Struthio camelus: one gene and its partner. The protein of the gene in region 1 purifies or fractionates together with the protein of each later gene. This does not show direct contact. Links are inferred from orthologs where the notes say so. Each region holds a gene or a part of one and is shown on either strand. Other genes may lie near its edges.

Region 1 (7,358 bases):
CAGTTTCTGCCCGTTGCCTCTTGTCCTGTTGCTGGGCACCACGGAGAAGAGGCTGGCCTCATCCTCTTGACACTCCCCCTTCAGATACTGGTACACGTTGATGAGATCCCCTCTCAGTCTTCTCTTCTCCAGGCTGAACAGGCCCAGCTCTCGCAGTCTTTCTTCCTAGGAGAGGTGCTCCAGCCCTCTAATCATCTTGGTAGCCCTCCGCTGGACTCTCTCCAGCAGTGCCATGTCTCTCTTGTCCTGGGGAGCCCAGAACTGGACACAGTACTCCAGGTGAGGCCTCACCAGGGCTGAGCAGAGGCACAGGATCACTTCCCTCGACCTGCTGGCAACACTCTGCCTAATGCACCCCAGCATACCATTGGCCTTCTTGGCCACAAGGGCACACTGCTGGCTCATGTTTAACTTGTTGTCCACCAGCACTCCCAGGTCCTTCTCGGCAGAGCTACTTTCCAGCAGGTCAGCCCCCAGCCTGTCCTGGTGCCTGGAGTTATTCCTGCCTAGGTGCAGGACCTTGCACTTGCCTTTGTTGAACTTCAGGAGGTTCCTCTCCACCCAGCTCTCCAGCCTGTCCACGTCCCTCTGAATGGCAGCACAGTCTTCTGCTGTGTCAGCCACTCCTCCCAGTCTAGTATCATCAGCAAACTTGCTGAGGGTGCACTCTGTCCCAGGGTGCATCGCCACAAACGAGCCAGGAAACGGGCAGTTCGGAGGAGGACGCGTGCCATTGGCAGAAGGGAGTAGTGGGCCGCTGTCTGAAGGACATCACAAGCAGTCTGTGCCTCTTGCATTGGCTCCAGGGCAGGCCAGGAGCTGGGGAAGGTAGTAACCGTTGACCGTCGGTTATAACGAGCTCCATTAGAAGTGCAATCAGTCCCGTCTCTCCTTGCCACAATTAACAGTGGCGGATAACGCGGCACGCCTCTCGGCAGCCGCGCATAAAGCTGAGCGTTAAGCAGCGAGGACGACCGAAATCAGACCTGAGATTGCATCCGTGAAGAATAAATGAGGCTCACTCTTCAGCAGAAGCCAAGCAAACTGATGCTCAGGATCAAGTCTAAAATAATTTTAAGAGCTGTAAAAAAGGAGCCTTTGGGGCAGGTCTGAAAGAGGGCTTGTAATTCTGCCTCTCTTAACCATGCACTAGACGGAGAGAGGCATCGCATCCATGCCCCGCTCTCTCTCCCTAGCCAAACAGCAGCCTTAACTGCTCCTTCCTTTTCTTCGGCACGGGCCAGGCAACCCTTCGCACCAGCCCTTGACCCTCCCAAGCAGACCTGAAGCGGTCAGCGCTAGTGCTCAAATACCTGGCGTTTACTTAGCATCTGCTGCAGGTGCGACGAGACGCCGAACGCGGCACCGTGGAAAAAATTCGCCTGCCCGGCCCGTGGCGCGGGGACGCCGCAGAGCGCGGCTGCTGCGTGGAGGACCGCTTCCCTTTGCCCTTGCAGCTGCTGCCTCTCCTGCCGGGGACAGTATTTTCCACCAAGGCACTGAGGGCCAGTGACAAAGAAGGGGGTAAACAAAGCCCCGAGTGACGCCTGCCCGTTGGTGTGATCTCCAGCCCAGATAAGCCTGCCCCTAAATAGACTTGCCCTCCTCCCCTTCCGCAAGGCCAGCCCCTGAGATGTCCCCCACCGATTTCCGAACCAGTGCAACGTTCCAGCAAAAGGCCAGAAAAGGGGGAAAAAACCGCTGCCCTCGCTGTCGAATCACAGGCAGCACAAACCACTACTGAAGAATGACATTAAAATCCCATTAAAACAGCAGAAGCGTTCAGGAGCTCTGCACATACTGTGAAATATATATTTTTGGCACCTTTACTACTCTCTTTGGAAGCTGGAAGAGAAAACGGGATTCACCGGGATGCCTACAACACGAGCGATCGTATCTCTTGTCTCCAGTTTTACATGACGAATGAGCCTATCAAGTAAAACGCAGCGTCTACGAGACGCGAGGGAGAACAGCAGCTGCATGGTAACAAGAAACTAGAGTTTGTTCCAACCATCTAATCTCAGCAGCAGCAGCAGCTAAGAGCATTTAAGTCCTTCGGGCGAAGAGAAAACAGGCACCACGCACAAAAAACAGCAGTTCAAGTTCTCCTCCTGTCTTTTAACCAGAGAGACCTGATGGAGTTCGCTCCTAAAGGAGTAAGAAGATGCTGCCTTATGCCTTTCGGGAAGAAGACTGTGCTGCAGGACAGCTTGACAAAAGTCCATTTTAAAAGGTTCTTGCCCAAGGGTCTCCATTGAATGAGCGCGGTGTCGGCTGTAAACACCGCCTGGTGCCAACGGAGAGGAAACGGTCAAAGCTGTGATATCGTGCAAGGGTTACAGGACCTGAAAGTGAAACCAGCCTCTCTCTTTCCACCGTCAAAACAGAGCAAAGTGGAAACAAGCACAAAGCAACCCAGCTTACGACTTTCCGGGTCCGATCTTAAAAACAGCCTTGAGGCTTACAACTCATTTTCACTTGTTTCCTTTAATACACCAAAAGCTCTTTGCAAAAAGCCACAGCTGTTTCTGCAGAATATAATACCTCTCGCTAAATCGTTCTTCCCGGCGAGGCTAACCGAACGACGCAGCGGCCGTGGGCATCTCCCCGCTCGACAGCGATAACTGCACGGCGCCCCGGACAGGCTAAGACCACCGATAAATAGTATGAGAAGAGCCGTTTTGCGGCCGGTTGGCTTTCTACCGATGTTAGGCTTGATCTCAGGGGAGGAAAGAAAAAAGAGGAGGAGCCCTTTAGAAGGCCCATTATATGTTTAAAAAAAAAAAAAAAAAAAGCACAGCACGGAGATAACAAGATCGCGGTCAAACTAGCGGCCCTCTGACCTGCTTTAGCAACACAGCACGAGCAGCTAAAGCAAGACCGCGGCTTGGCAAACGCAACTATCTAGAGGATAACGGTTTTGCTCTACGCAGCGCCGCGACAAAAAAGAGCGCTCTGACTGCCGCTCCGATCGAGGTCGGCCAAATCCGCCCCGCAGCCAGCCCGCTTCGCGCCAACCACGCACAAGGCAGAAACTTCAGACGGGCACCGAGGCAACCCGCTCGCAACGCCGTCAGCGCTTTCCAGCTCCCGTCCTCTCAGGACGTTAAACCGCGAAAGAGGTTTCTGAAGGATTATCTCACGGCCGGGCGCAGAGCGCGCTCGGCGGAGGAGGGAACGCCACCAACACGACGCTCCCGAGGGCCGGCTAAGGGCAAACGGGGCGGCCAAAAAAACGCGCACGCTAAGGCGCGAACGCAGCGAAGGAGCGCGGTCTCCCTTCCAGGTGTTGCCACGCTTCCTAGGGTTGTTATTTGCCCAGAGAGACTTCTGCTCTCTCCTTGACAGCTCAGTGGCTGCTTCTCCCCGGCCCTTAGGGCGCAGCGAGGGCTGGCGGAGCGGCGGCCGAGCGCGGGGTTCGGAGCGGGAGCATCGCGCCGCGCTGGGGCCGCAAGGAAGGCAGGCGCTCCAGGAAAGCGAGAGCGGGGTTTCCTTCCCGGGGGTTATTCCGAGGAGAAACGCAAGCGTGAAAACGGCCTCGAAGCGTCCGAGGTCTCGGTGCCGCGACGTCTGGCCCGCCGCGGGGTGTATTTTGCCAAGGGTTATATGTTATAACTCGGAAATCCCGCGTCCCCTCGGGGTTCCCCGCCCCAAAAACCCGCCCGGATCTCCGCGCTGGGAAGCATCCGCGGCTCGGCAGCAGGAGGAGGAGGAGGAGGAGGGGGAGGAAGGCTCCGCCGCGCACACGCAGCCCCGCAGCGCTCTCCGCGGCCCAGGCCCCGCCGCCCCTCCCCGCCGTCCCCCACCTTTTCCTCGGGCTCCGGCGGCGGCGCCGCGCCGGGCTGGCGGCCGAGCCGCTGCCGCAGCTCGCTCATGCCGGCGCCGGGCTCCGCTCCGCGCCGCTCCGCGCCCGACTCCCCCCCGCCGCCGCCGCCGCCGCTGCTGCCGCCGCCGCCGCTGCCGCTACCGCCGCTGCTGCCGCCGCTGCGCCCGGCCGCGGCCGCCAGGGGGCGGGCGAGCGCAAGGCGCGCTCAGCCAATCGCCGCCGCGGGACGGCCCGCCCGCCCGAGGGGTGGGTGGGTGTGGCTTCTAGGCCCCGCCCATCACCCTCCCTCCTCCTCGGCTCCGCCCAGGTGTACCCGGATGTGCGCGCCGCTCCGCCGCGCGCCGCCATGATGGGTGGTGCCCGGTGACGGCAGACGGACCCTGGCGCCTCGCGTTCTATGTGCGTGTGTGTGTAACGCGCGCGTTGATTGGCTCTCGCCGGGGCAGCGGGACTAAGGGGAGGAGCGGCGCCGGGATTAGCCGGAGTCGGGGTGGGGGGAAGGGGGCGGGGCAGCGCGTGACGTGAGCGTGGATCGGGCCTCGCTGCAGGGAGCGCGGGTCGCGATTGGCGCCGCCCCGGAGGTGGGCGGGGCGGGGGGGCAGGGTATAAAAGCGGCGTTTGGCGGGCTGCGGCCTTTGGCGGCCGCTTACCTTTTCTGTTTGTGCGTGCGGGCGGGCCTCGTCGGTCGCTGCCGCTGCGAGGATGTTCGAGGCGCGGCTGGTGCAGGGCTCGGTGCTCAAGCGGGTGCTGGAGGCACTCAAGGACCTCATCACCGAGGCCTGCTGGGACCTGGGCTCGGGCGGCATCAGCCTGCAGAGCATGGACTCCTCGCACGTCTCCCTGGTGCAGCTCACGCTGCGCTCCGAGGGCTTCGACACCTACCGCTGCGACCGCAACATCGCCATGGGCGTCAACCTCGCCAGGTAGCGGCGGCCGCGGCCTGTCGGAGACTGGGGACGGGCTCGGCGCTGAGGGGAGCAGCCGTTAGGGCCCGTTGGTGGGGGCGGGGGGGCGGGGGGGCTCGGCGCTGAGGGGAGCAGCCGTTAGGGCCCGTTGGTGGGGGCGGGGGGGCGGGCTCGGCGCTGAGGGGAGCAGCCGTTAGGGCCCGTTGGTGGGGGCGGGGGGGCGGGCTCGGCGCTGAGGGGAGCAGCCGTTAGGGCCCGTTGGTGGGGGCGGGGGGGCGGGCTCGGCGCTGAGGGGAGCAGCCGCCGCCCCTCCCCCATTCTCCACAGAACGCTGGCGCCGTTTTTCGCCGCGCGCGCGGGGCCTGGCGGCGGCGGTGACGTCACTGCCGGCGCGCCGTGGCGGGAAAGCCGGGCGGGGAAGGGGCCTGGCAGGGCCCTGCCCGCCATGGCGTCTCCCCGGGTGGCCCTGCGTCCCCTCCGTCCCAAGAGACAGGGAGGCAGCGGGGGACAAGCCTGAGCTCGGCTCTTGTTAGCCGTCAGGGTGGCTGGAAGCGGGGGGGGGGGGGTCTGGCCTCCCAGGCCGAGGTGCGCAGCAGCATGTGCTGCCTTCCTGGCACTTGGCTGTCATCTAAAGGGTTCACTGCCCTTCTGAACTTGTGGGGTGTGCTGCAGGTGCTAAAGGTGAGGGTTTTGTGCCCGCAGAAGGGAGTAAAGGACTGCATAGAAATCATAATACAGGATTGTGTCAGGTGTTGCACTGGAGGCTAGTGGTTGTTTCTTAGACGACTTTTAACACTATAGAGTAGTGAGCCCATATTTTTGCCCTATCAGGCTGGGACCTTTTACGATCTAGTTTTCGTTCCCCTAGCATGTCAAAAATACTGAAATGTGCTGGAAACGAAGACATAATAACACTCAGAGCAGAAGACAATGCAGACACACTGGCTCTAGTGTTTGAAGCACCAAGTAAGTGTTATGTTTAGTAAATAATTTGCTCCTGTGATGTTTTTAGGTGATCTTCCTAAGTATGTGGTGATCTTCCTGTGTCTGGGTGGTGGGGCCAAGAAGAAATACTTCAGAAGCTGGAAGGCTCTCAAAAATGGGACTAAACAAGATGGATCCCGTTATCCTAACTGAGGTGTTTTTACTCCGGAAAAAATTTTGGGTAGAACTTAAATTGAGGATGATGGCTTTTTTAAACACTTTGTCGGACTAAGCTTTGTTTGTTTTAGATCAGGAAAAAGTGTCTGACTATGAGATGAAGCTAATGGATCTGGATGTGGAGCAACTTGGAATTCCAGTAAGTAGCGACAACTGAAGTGTAGTGACTACATCAAGCTTCTTGGTAGAAGTTTAATTGTGACACTTCCTTTGCAGGAGCAAGAATACAGTTGTGTAGTGAAGATGCCTTCTGCTGAGTTTGCACGCATCTGCAGAGATCTCAGCCACATTGGAGATGCAGTTGTCATCTCTTGTGCCAAAGATGGTGTGAAGTTTTCAGCTAATGGAGAGCTAGGAAATGGGAACATCAAACTGTCACAGACCAGTAATGTGGATAAAGAGGAAGAAGCTGTAAGTTGTGTTGATGGCTAGCTGTTGTTCTCAGGGTTAAGGTTTCTGCTAGTAACTTACTCTCTATGGTAGTGTCATAGGCCACCTACAGGTAGATAAAGATGGGTTGTTTTTCTCCACTTTGTAGAAGCGAGTCAACAAATCACTGCCAACTTTGGCCCCTTAGCCCTGGGGTCTGCCGTGCAGTGCTAAGCAGAACAGAGTGGGGAATAGTGCTGGCTGTTCTCTGCCTTTGCCTGAGGTGTCTAGGTCTGTGACACTGATTTATTTGACAAACTTGGGGGAGCTTGTGGCTTGTGTTAATTGAACTCTAACCTGGCTGATGTTCTCCTAGGTTACAATAGAGATGAATGAGCCTGTCCAATTAACCTTTGCTTTGAGGTATTTGAACTTTTTTACCAAAGCCACTCCACTGTCACCTACAGTCACACTCAGCATGTCTGCAGATGTTCCTCTTGGTAAGTAGAAGCAGCTCTTCTGGGAAGTAACCCTGTAGAGCACTGTCCTCTTAGAACTATGTTAAGAGGGCTTGATTGGCTTTTTCTGAACTATTTTCTGAATATTTTTTCCAGTTGTGGAGTACAAGATTGCTGACATGGGACACTTAAAATACTATCTGGCTCCAAAGATTGAAGATCAACAAGAAGGTTCTTAATTGGGCTGGGAGATCTGCTCAGCTCTTTGGAGAAGACAACTGACTTTGTGAAGGAAATTGTCCGCACAGTTCAGCAGTTTCAGTACATTGGACCGTCAAATGAGCACTGTTAGGCCTGTTTTGTAGATACTTTTGTAAATATTTTTCAGCTTACTGTTTTGCTATACTGGTGTCATTCAAAATAGGAATTTTTGCTCTTCTAGATTATTCCTGTTCCTCCAATAGTCTTTATATGCTGTCTTTAGTTAAAGTCTTCTACTCCTTTTGATTTGTGTTAGAGAAGGAGTGCAATATTTAACTTGAGTAAATATGATGTTGCCTAGTTTTACCTGTGAACTGTAGTTCACTAGGGTTACTGTTTAATGATGCCAGGAGTTCATTCAACCTTTCTTTATATGTT
Region 2 (7,282 bases), on another chromosome or scaffold:
AGAGATTTCATTTGTGTTGAACTCTGTACCGTCAACATACGCTCATCATTTGGGACATTACTGGATGACTTCTCATTCTGTGAGACTGCCTTCACAAGAGTTGGGAAACAGCTGGACTCTGCAGCAGTAGAACATGCGATCTTCCTCTCTGAAGTATATATTGAAGAGTTTACAAGATAATCTCCTGCCCTGCTTGCTGCAAGTAGAAAATGGGTATAGCGCTTGTAGTGGGATGGAATGGTGGAAGTGCACAGCAAGCCATCAGGACACTCTGTGAAAAGTTAAGCAGAGAAGCACTGTTAATACCGTTGCAAAGATATTCACTTGGCATAGATATTAAAATAAAAATTATATACGACGTTTCATTTAAAACTTTTTCTTATACATGCAGTCATTAGAGGATAGAAGGCACATCTACAAAATAATTTGCAATAAGCTAAGAGCTCCTGCCCTAAGGTGGCTAGAAGTAAGACTGCTTCCAACAGTGTTGTCTGTGTAAACAAAACACTAAGTGTGAACTAACACACCCATCTAACAAGAAGGGTATGTTAGCTTGTTCCAGTGTGCTAGCATAGTTATACAGCCTCTAGTTGAGAGCAACCTCATGTGCAAGCAATGAGCTCAGAGCAGTAGCACTGCAAATGTCAAAATAAACCAAATCTACGTTCTGAATCAACTTGCAATTCCATTTCAAAGTTGTCTGTTGGGTTACACATTAAATACATAAAATAAGATTTAAAAAGTAATTACTTCTGTACAAAAAGCATTCAGGATTCAGATGCCAAGAACAGTTCAATGTTGTTCCTTAAGACTTTTTTGTTGATAGTTTGCTGGCTTAATTTTTGAGAATTTAAAGGTGAATGCCCAGAAGAAATCAATCAGACAGATTTTTCACTCCCGCTTTCATACGGGAGTAGGAGATGAAAATGAGATGTTAACATCTGCCTTAAGTCAAGGCCACCAGCAAACTCAGGATTAAGAACTCACATTTCATTGTTCTGAAGGCGAAGCCTCAGGAAAAGTCAGATAGATATGAAAAGGATCGTATTAATTAAAACAGCAGCCTTTACTTCAAGTTTTTTGACTGTATGCTGTTTTTCAAAAGGTATGAGGTGTATTAACAACGTAAGTTGGATACCTGGACCTGTCCAGATACGTGTAAATACATGGCATTGCCTAACATAAAACTAGCAATCGGAACAGTTCAGTGTTTATTTCTCCTGTGAGCTCAAAAAACGTGTAACATTCTATGGTCATGCCTTCACGTGGCAGACAAGTATCACGGGCACAAACATAGGAATGTTCACGTATACTTCTGCACAAAACTTCTAAAATATACTGAACCAAGGGCTAACGTTTCAAGTACGTTAGCCCAACAGACTGATTTCAGCTTGCAACTGTCCATAGGCAACTGGACAAATCACACAGCAATGTAGGTATGCAATAACAGAATTCACAAATAAGGAGAAATAAGTTCTGTGTCCAAAGTAGCAGTCTCTTAACCAAAGGAGGCTTCTTCTGAATCTTGACTGAATAACTGAAACAGGCCACAGAATCACAGAATGGTTGAGGTTGGAAGGCACCTCTGGAGATCATCTAGTTCAACCCCCCCTGCTCAAGCAAGGTAGCTAGCACACATTACCCAGGACTGTGTCCAGACAGCTTTTGAATATCTCCAGAGAAGGAGATTCCACAACCTCTCTGGGCAAACTCTTCCAGTGCTCAGTCACCCTCCCTGTAAAGACGTTTCTCCTCAAAAAAAGTAGACCAGGTCCATTTTTTTTAAAAGGTAAATACGCACTACGCTGAATGCCTTCTATTTCTTAATTACAGCCCATGAAAGGGGAGTTTGAAGAACAACCATGAATCTTTATCAATACTACACAAAGTTTTGAGATAACATTATTAGATTATTATTTTTGTATCAGTTCAATGTTCTTTATAAAGAATCCAAATTCTGATATGAATACAATGTTGATAAATTATCAGTAACAACATTCTAAAAGTCATACCAACTGTCATCTCAGATTTTGAACTAAATATGAAAACCAGAGTTTACAGTAACATTATGTCACGTGTCTTTAACATCTTTTTTTTAAAGACTCTTTTTCTTACGCTACTCATACCTTTTTCCATAGATCCTGGAGTATCCAAACATTCAGCAACATGCCACCGAGGTGTCTGGACTAACAGTAAAGAGAAAGGCATCTGACAGCTTGGACAGTATCCATCACGAACCAGCTTTGCATTTTCTGAGCTTTGCTCTGTCGGGCTACTAACACTTTCCTGGGACTGCACGATAGTATCGTCTCTACTTTGATCTAGATCCTGATCTGGTCTTGATTTCTGCTTGCTTTTCTTAACAGTATCACTTTTTTCCACTGATTTTCTTTTATTTCCATTTCCCTTTCTTTTTGGCTTGCACTTGTCATTACTTATTTTCTGCACGGGTGTAGAGATGCTCTCCGAATTAACCTGATGCACCAACTTTTGTTTCCTAATGGATTTGTACTCCCAAATGTCCTCTTCCAATAAAGCATCTTCAGACATGGCAACACACGAAATATTTTCCTTGCTCTTAAGCAGCAGTTCACTAGTCTAGTTTTCCTTCTGTTAATAAGTTTTCTCTCTCCCCCCCCCTCCACTAGCTGAAGAAAAGCACTTGAACTCCATTTAAAAAAAAAAAGACCGGGCCACAAACCAAACAGCAGCCCCTGGGGAGATAGAAGCATGGTGGCTCCTACCCTAAAAATAATTTAAGGAGTGTCTCTCTGAATAGTCGTAACCACAGCGGCTAAACGAAACCCGAGGCTGTAAGATGCAGAAGTACTTGCAGAGCGCGCCATTTCCTTCAGTTATTCCACTTGCAAGCACCTAACCCGGCCTCGCTAAGTGAAAAGCCCAGCTGCGCCCGCGCCCCGGCTGCCACCTCGCTGGCCCGAGGCGAGGAGGTTTTTGAAAGAAAACAACCCAGATTTCAGCTCCGGAGCCGCTGCCAGGAGGCACCACACGCCGAAGGCCGACACGGGCGCAGCGCGGCCGGGAGGTGCCGCCGCCGCCGCCGCTGCTGCCGGGCCCCGCGCCTCGCAGACCCCGCCGCCGCCGCTGCATTCGCCGCCGCAGCTTCGTCACTTGCGGCCGCCTCTCAACTTTCCGGGTCTTCCGTAGCTTCCAAAAGAAAAAAGGAAAACTCCGTTTAATTAAAGGAGCCGTGCTGGGACTGTGTCCCTAGCCCCCCCAGTTTTCAGGTTTATTCCACTTAAAAATAAATAAGTCACTAGGCGGGAAAAAAGGCTGTGCTGAATCTGCTGAGCTGAAATCACCACTAGGGATTTTCTTCACGAATATGCTACCGAGAATATCAGAGCTATGAAAAAACACAAATTTAATTAGAAGCGGCCTCTCTTTAAAACACACGATTTTTTTCGTGTTTGTACTTAGGGGATTTTTTTTTTCAATTGCGCCTTCGTTTTTCTCGTGTCGCCCGCGGGAGCTGTCGAATATGGGAAGGGGAAAAGGCAGGCCAGTAAACAGCGGCCCTGCCCCGGCGCGGCCGGGCTGGCCCAGGAGGCGCCATGGCGGCGGCGGGGGGCCTGGCGGCGCTCCTGCCCGCCCAGACCCAGCTGGAGTACGCCTTGCTGGACGCCGACACCCCCCAGGAGAAGGAGAACTTGGTCTACCAGTACCTGAAGAAGATGGACAGCCGGGAGCGGGACCTAGCGTTGCCCGAGCTCGGCAGAGGTGGGTGGCGGGGCCCGAGCGGGTCAGGCCGGCCTCCCCCCCAAGGGAGCGGAGCGGAGCGGAGCTGCTCGGGGCCGCGGGCGGCGGCAGCTGGGCCCCCCTCCCGCGGGGCCGAGCCCTGGCTCCCGCCCTCCGGGGTGTGGTGTCTTCCTTGAAGCCCTGCTGCCCGAGGGGGTGTGTAATTACAGCCCCGTTAGTTTAAGGCCTCGCTAACTGTCTTTTTTTTTTTTTTTCCGAAAAAGAAAGTATTCGTCTTAGCTGCGAGAAATATGACTCCAGAAAGTATCATCAGGAAAAGACAAGTGCAAAGAATTCCTCTGTAAACGCTTTGTTAGTGTTTGTAAAAATATATTCTTTAAAATTTCTCTCCTAAACTTCTGATACGTAGCTTCAGTATTTAACTGTTCTTAATAAAACATTTCTCTGCAATATATGGATATCTGCCCTCGGCCAGTCAGTGGTCTCGCCTTACTCGTTCTGTCAGCTTCCTCTTGAGCTCTGTTGGTTTCACTGCAGCCCCTTGTTTCCCAGCTCTCTCCCCGTGACTTACCTGCACTTGTCAATTTTCATGTTTCTGAAAATACAAACTATGCAGGAGGTTTCATGCTCATTCAGTGGTGTGTCCATTTCCCTTTCGCACATTTCACACATTTCTATATCTCTTTTTACACTCAGCATGAATCAAGGGTTAAGTCTTGTAAGATCTTGTAAGTCCTGCTCGGAGTCCTGGTCACCTCATGAGACACTCTGGAACTATGAGAGCTCATGAAAGGAGTTTGCAAGATGAAGACCTAAAAAGATAAATGTCAGGGTTAAAATCACATACGTATCATGGGACTGAATTCTGATTTCTAACCCATCAAGTAAAGTGAATACTCTTTCTCTCTGCATTTGGATTCCTGAATTGAACTTTCACTTTTGTGATTAGTGTCATTTCACCTTTTATAGTCTTTCAAAGCTAATGTTCTCTTCTGAAAAGCAGCTCAAATAAATAGTAAACATTTTTCATTTACAGCATATTTTGATATAAGATGCTTTAGTGAAAAAGGGAGCAGTACCATTAAATAAATAAATAACATACTCTTTTAAAAAGGAAACATTTATGAAGTTTATGCATGATTTCCTCAGTGTACAGGCAGGGTTTTACTAAGGGTTTACTAAGTCTTATTATTGTCGCCAAAACAATGACTGTGTGTTCATCCATTTATGTTTATATGTGTGTAAGTAGTGAGTAGCCCTTCTCTTAGTGAAGCAGAAAACAATCCTCCTGCTGACTTGAGTAGCAGTAACTTGTTCTGGGGATGTGGGAAATAAAAACATAGTTTGCTGAAACTGTGGAATTTTTGGATATTTTTAGGTTATCAAAGCACGCGTGTACATTTTTTTAAAAGTAGTCCTTTAAAAATTTGTATTTTTCCCATTATTTTAAGAAATGTTCGGTGATAATAAGGGCCAAACATATTGTAGGTTTTTTATTTCCTACCTTGATATCAGTTTCCTATGGGATCAGAGGATTATTAGTTGCCTCTTTGTGTGTACGTGCATAAAATGAGAAAACACTGCCTTAATGTCTCTTATCGAGTGTTTGAAAATAAATGAGCAGAAGTAGTATAGTATTTCAGGTATATCTGAAAGAGTTTTAGTTCTTGGAAATCAGCATATAACGTCATTAATTTATACCTATCGTTTCAAACTTCTCAAACTCAATATCAAAACGATAAATACAGAAATATTTCAGTAGTCTCCGATATTACTTCTTTACAAAAATGTAAACTCTAAGAGTTTAGCAGGTTTTTATCTGCTTACAAGCATGTACTTGTTGAATTCAAAATAAATAAGTATTACCCATATGATCTTCTTAGGGGTTGGATAATCTAGATCATGCTTTACAATAGATGAAAATTGTTCTAAGGCCTGCATGTGCTTTCCGTTAAAAGGCACCTATTTAAATATATAATCTGCACTTTCAATATTACATGAAATCCTGTTAACTTAATAATTTTTCTTAATATTACTTAATAATTAATACATTTTATTTGCTAATTATGAAAAATGTGGAGCATAAAGGTGAGTTTGATAAATGTAAGACTTTTGGTTTGCCTTCCTATCCGGACAGAAAGTGATACAGAACATTTTTGAAGTGAACTGTACTAGGAATGTTGTCTGTTTTTGTGGAAGTTAAGTATAAAGGAATGCCTTTGCCTACCCCTCCTCCCTAATTTGGATACCTCTTTTCTCTGAATTCCAGATTTACAGTGGCTAAACACTGAAAGTCCTATTTCTCTTCACAAAGACCTTTGTGGAAAAGTGGTGGTGTTGGATTTTTTTACTTACTGCTGCATCAATTGTTTGCACTTACTGCCTGATCTCCATGCCTTAGAGCACCAGTACTCTGATAAAGGTAAAAGTGCTTTGGCTTGCTTAGAACAGAATTTCCTGGCAGTGTTGCAGGTGGAGTAGCTGAGTCATTTTGTTGCTCATTACTAAAAGCTGGCAAAATTTCAGGGGTGCCTAAAAGTGTCTTCTAATCTTTTACGTAACCTAGTAAAGGTGACTGTTTGTAATCCCATCACACTTTCAAATGGGGTTAGATATGGTAGCTATTGCGTCTGTGTAATTAAAGAAACGGGAGGTGTACTTAAAGCCCAAACCTGATCTTCTCATAAATACAGCTATTTGAAAAATGCTGCACAAGGATGTAAGATAGGGGCTCGAAATTAACATTTGTATGTAACCCTCTGGATTTGACTTAGGAACCAACTCTTGAGTAGGACATAGAACAAGCGGTAGAACGGATGTAGATAAGATTACCTTCCCCCCGACCCTGTTCTAACTGAAAAATCAAAACATGTAAACTTGACGTGGGATTGTTTTGGTATTTCCTGCAGCATCACCTTATTTTCCATGAGTGGTTCTCTTTGCTCTGGAGAGAGATTAAAGCACATTAAATGCAGGTCTGTGAAAAAATCTCCATCTCTCTCTGATTGAATAAAAATGCAGGACAGTTACTATTTAGAATTTAATCTCTTGTCATCATGATGACAAGAGGCAGAGGTAAGCTTTATTCTTACGCAGTGTTGCAGCAGCCACTAACTTACCAAGGATATTTTAAGTTTTAACGCTGAGATGTAAAACAATATCACTTTCAGTCCTCAAATATTTGTATTAAATATAATAGTAAAATAACATTACTTTATAATGCTTAATAAGATTTTGATTCTCCGTTAGCCTTTCTGATTGATTTTCATTTTGCCAGCATTTATTTTCATGTATTGCCTGCTTTCACTGGAAAAAGAAATTACATTTTTCTGTAAGAAATTCCACTGTATGTTGTAAATTTGCACAGTGCTTTACAGAACACTTAACTAGACTGATTTTTCTGCACTGAAAAACTTAGCTTTTTGCTTCAGATTAATTTGAGATCTGCTGTGATGGTTTCAGATATAAGGAACTTTATTCATCTAATGAAAAAAACTGTCTAGCATTTTTGTGGGGAGGGAAGCTGTTTTAAGTGGGGAGGTAGCTGAGTTATAAATTTGGG

Evidence for each region. Proteins that work in one complex are often made in the same cells at the same time.
Region 2: the proteins of PCNA (region 1) and DCLRE1A purify together in Homo sapiens (affinity purification with western blotting; 3 studies listed by BioGRID and IntAct, with this or other methods). This does not show direct contact. The link is inferred for Struthio camelus from reciprocal best matches to the Homo sapiens genes PCNA and DCLRE1A.

Annotation. Positions count from the first base shown.
Region 1 is NC_090968.1:2,625,600-2,632,957, reverse strand, and holds the start of PCNA (proliferating cell nuclear antigen), read left to right. Parts: upstream 1-4,174; 5' UTR 4,175-4,528; coding exon 4,529-4,749; intron 4,750-5,599; coding exon 5,600-5,697; intron 5,698-5,963; coding exon 5,964-6,031; intron 6,032-6,108; coding exon 6,109-6,303; intron 6,304-6,637; coding exon 6,638-6,761; intron 6,762-6,875; coding exon 6,876-6,958; 3' UTR 6,959-7,358. Other genes in the region: CDS2 (phosphatidate cytidylyltransferase 2), read right to left, coding at 3,807-3,875. UniProt on the Homo sapiens protein: Auxiliary protein of DNA polymerase delta and epsilon, is involved in the control of eukaryotic DNA replication by increasing the polymerase's processibility during elongation of the leading strand.
Region 2 is NC_090948.1:10,463,586-10,470,867, reverse strand, and holds the start of DCLRE1A (DNA cross-link repair 1A protein), read right to left. Parts: upstream 3,169-7,282; 5' UTR 2,551-3,168; coding exon 2,127-2,550; intron 272-2,126; coding exon 1-271. Other genes in the region: NHLRC2 (NHL repeat-containing protein 2), read left to right, coding at 3,576-3,741, 5,990-6,142. UniProt on the Homo sapiens protein: May be required for DNA interstrand cross-link repair. Also required for checkpoint mediated cell cycle arrest in early prophase in response to mitotic spindle poisons.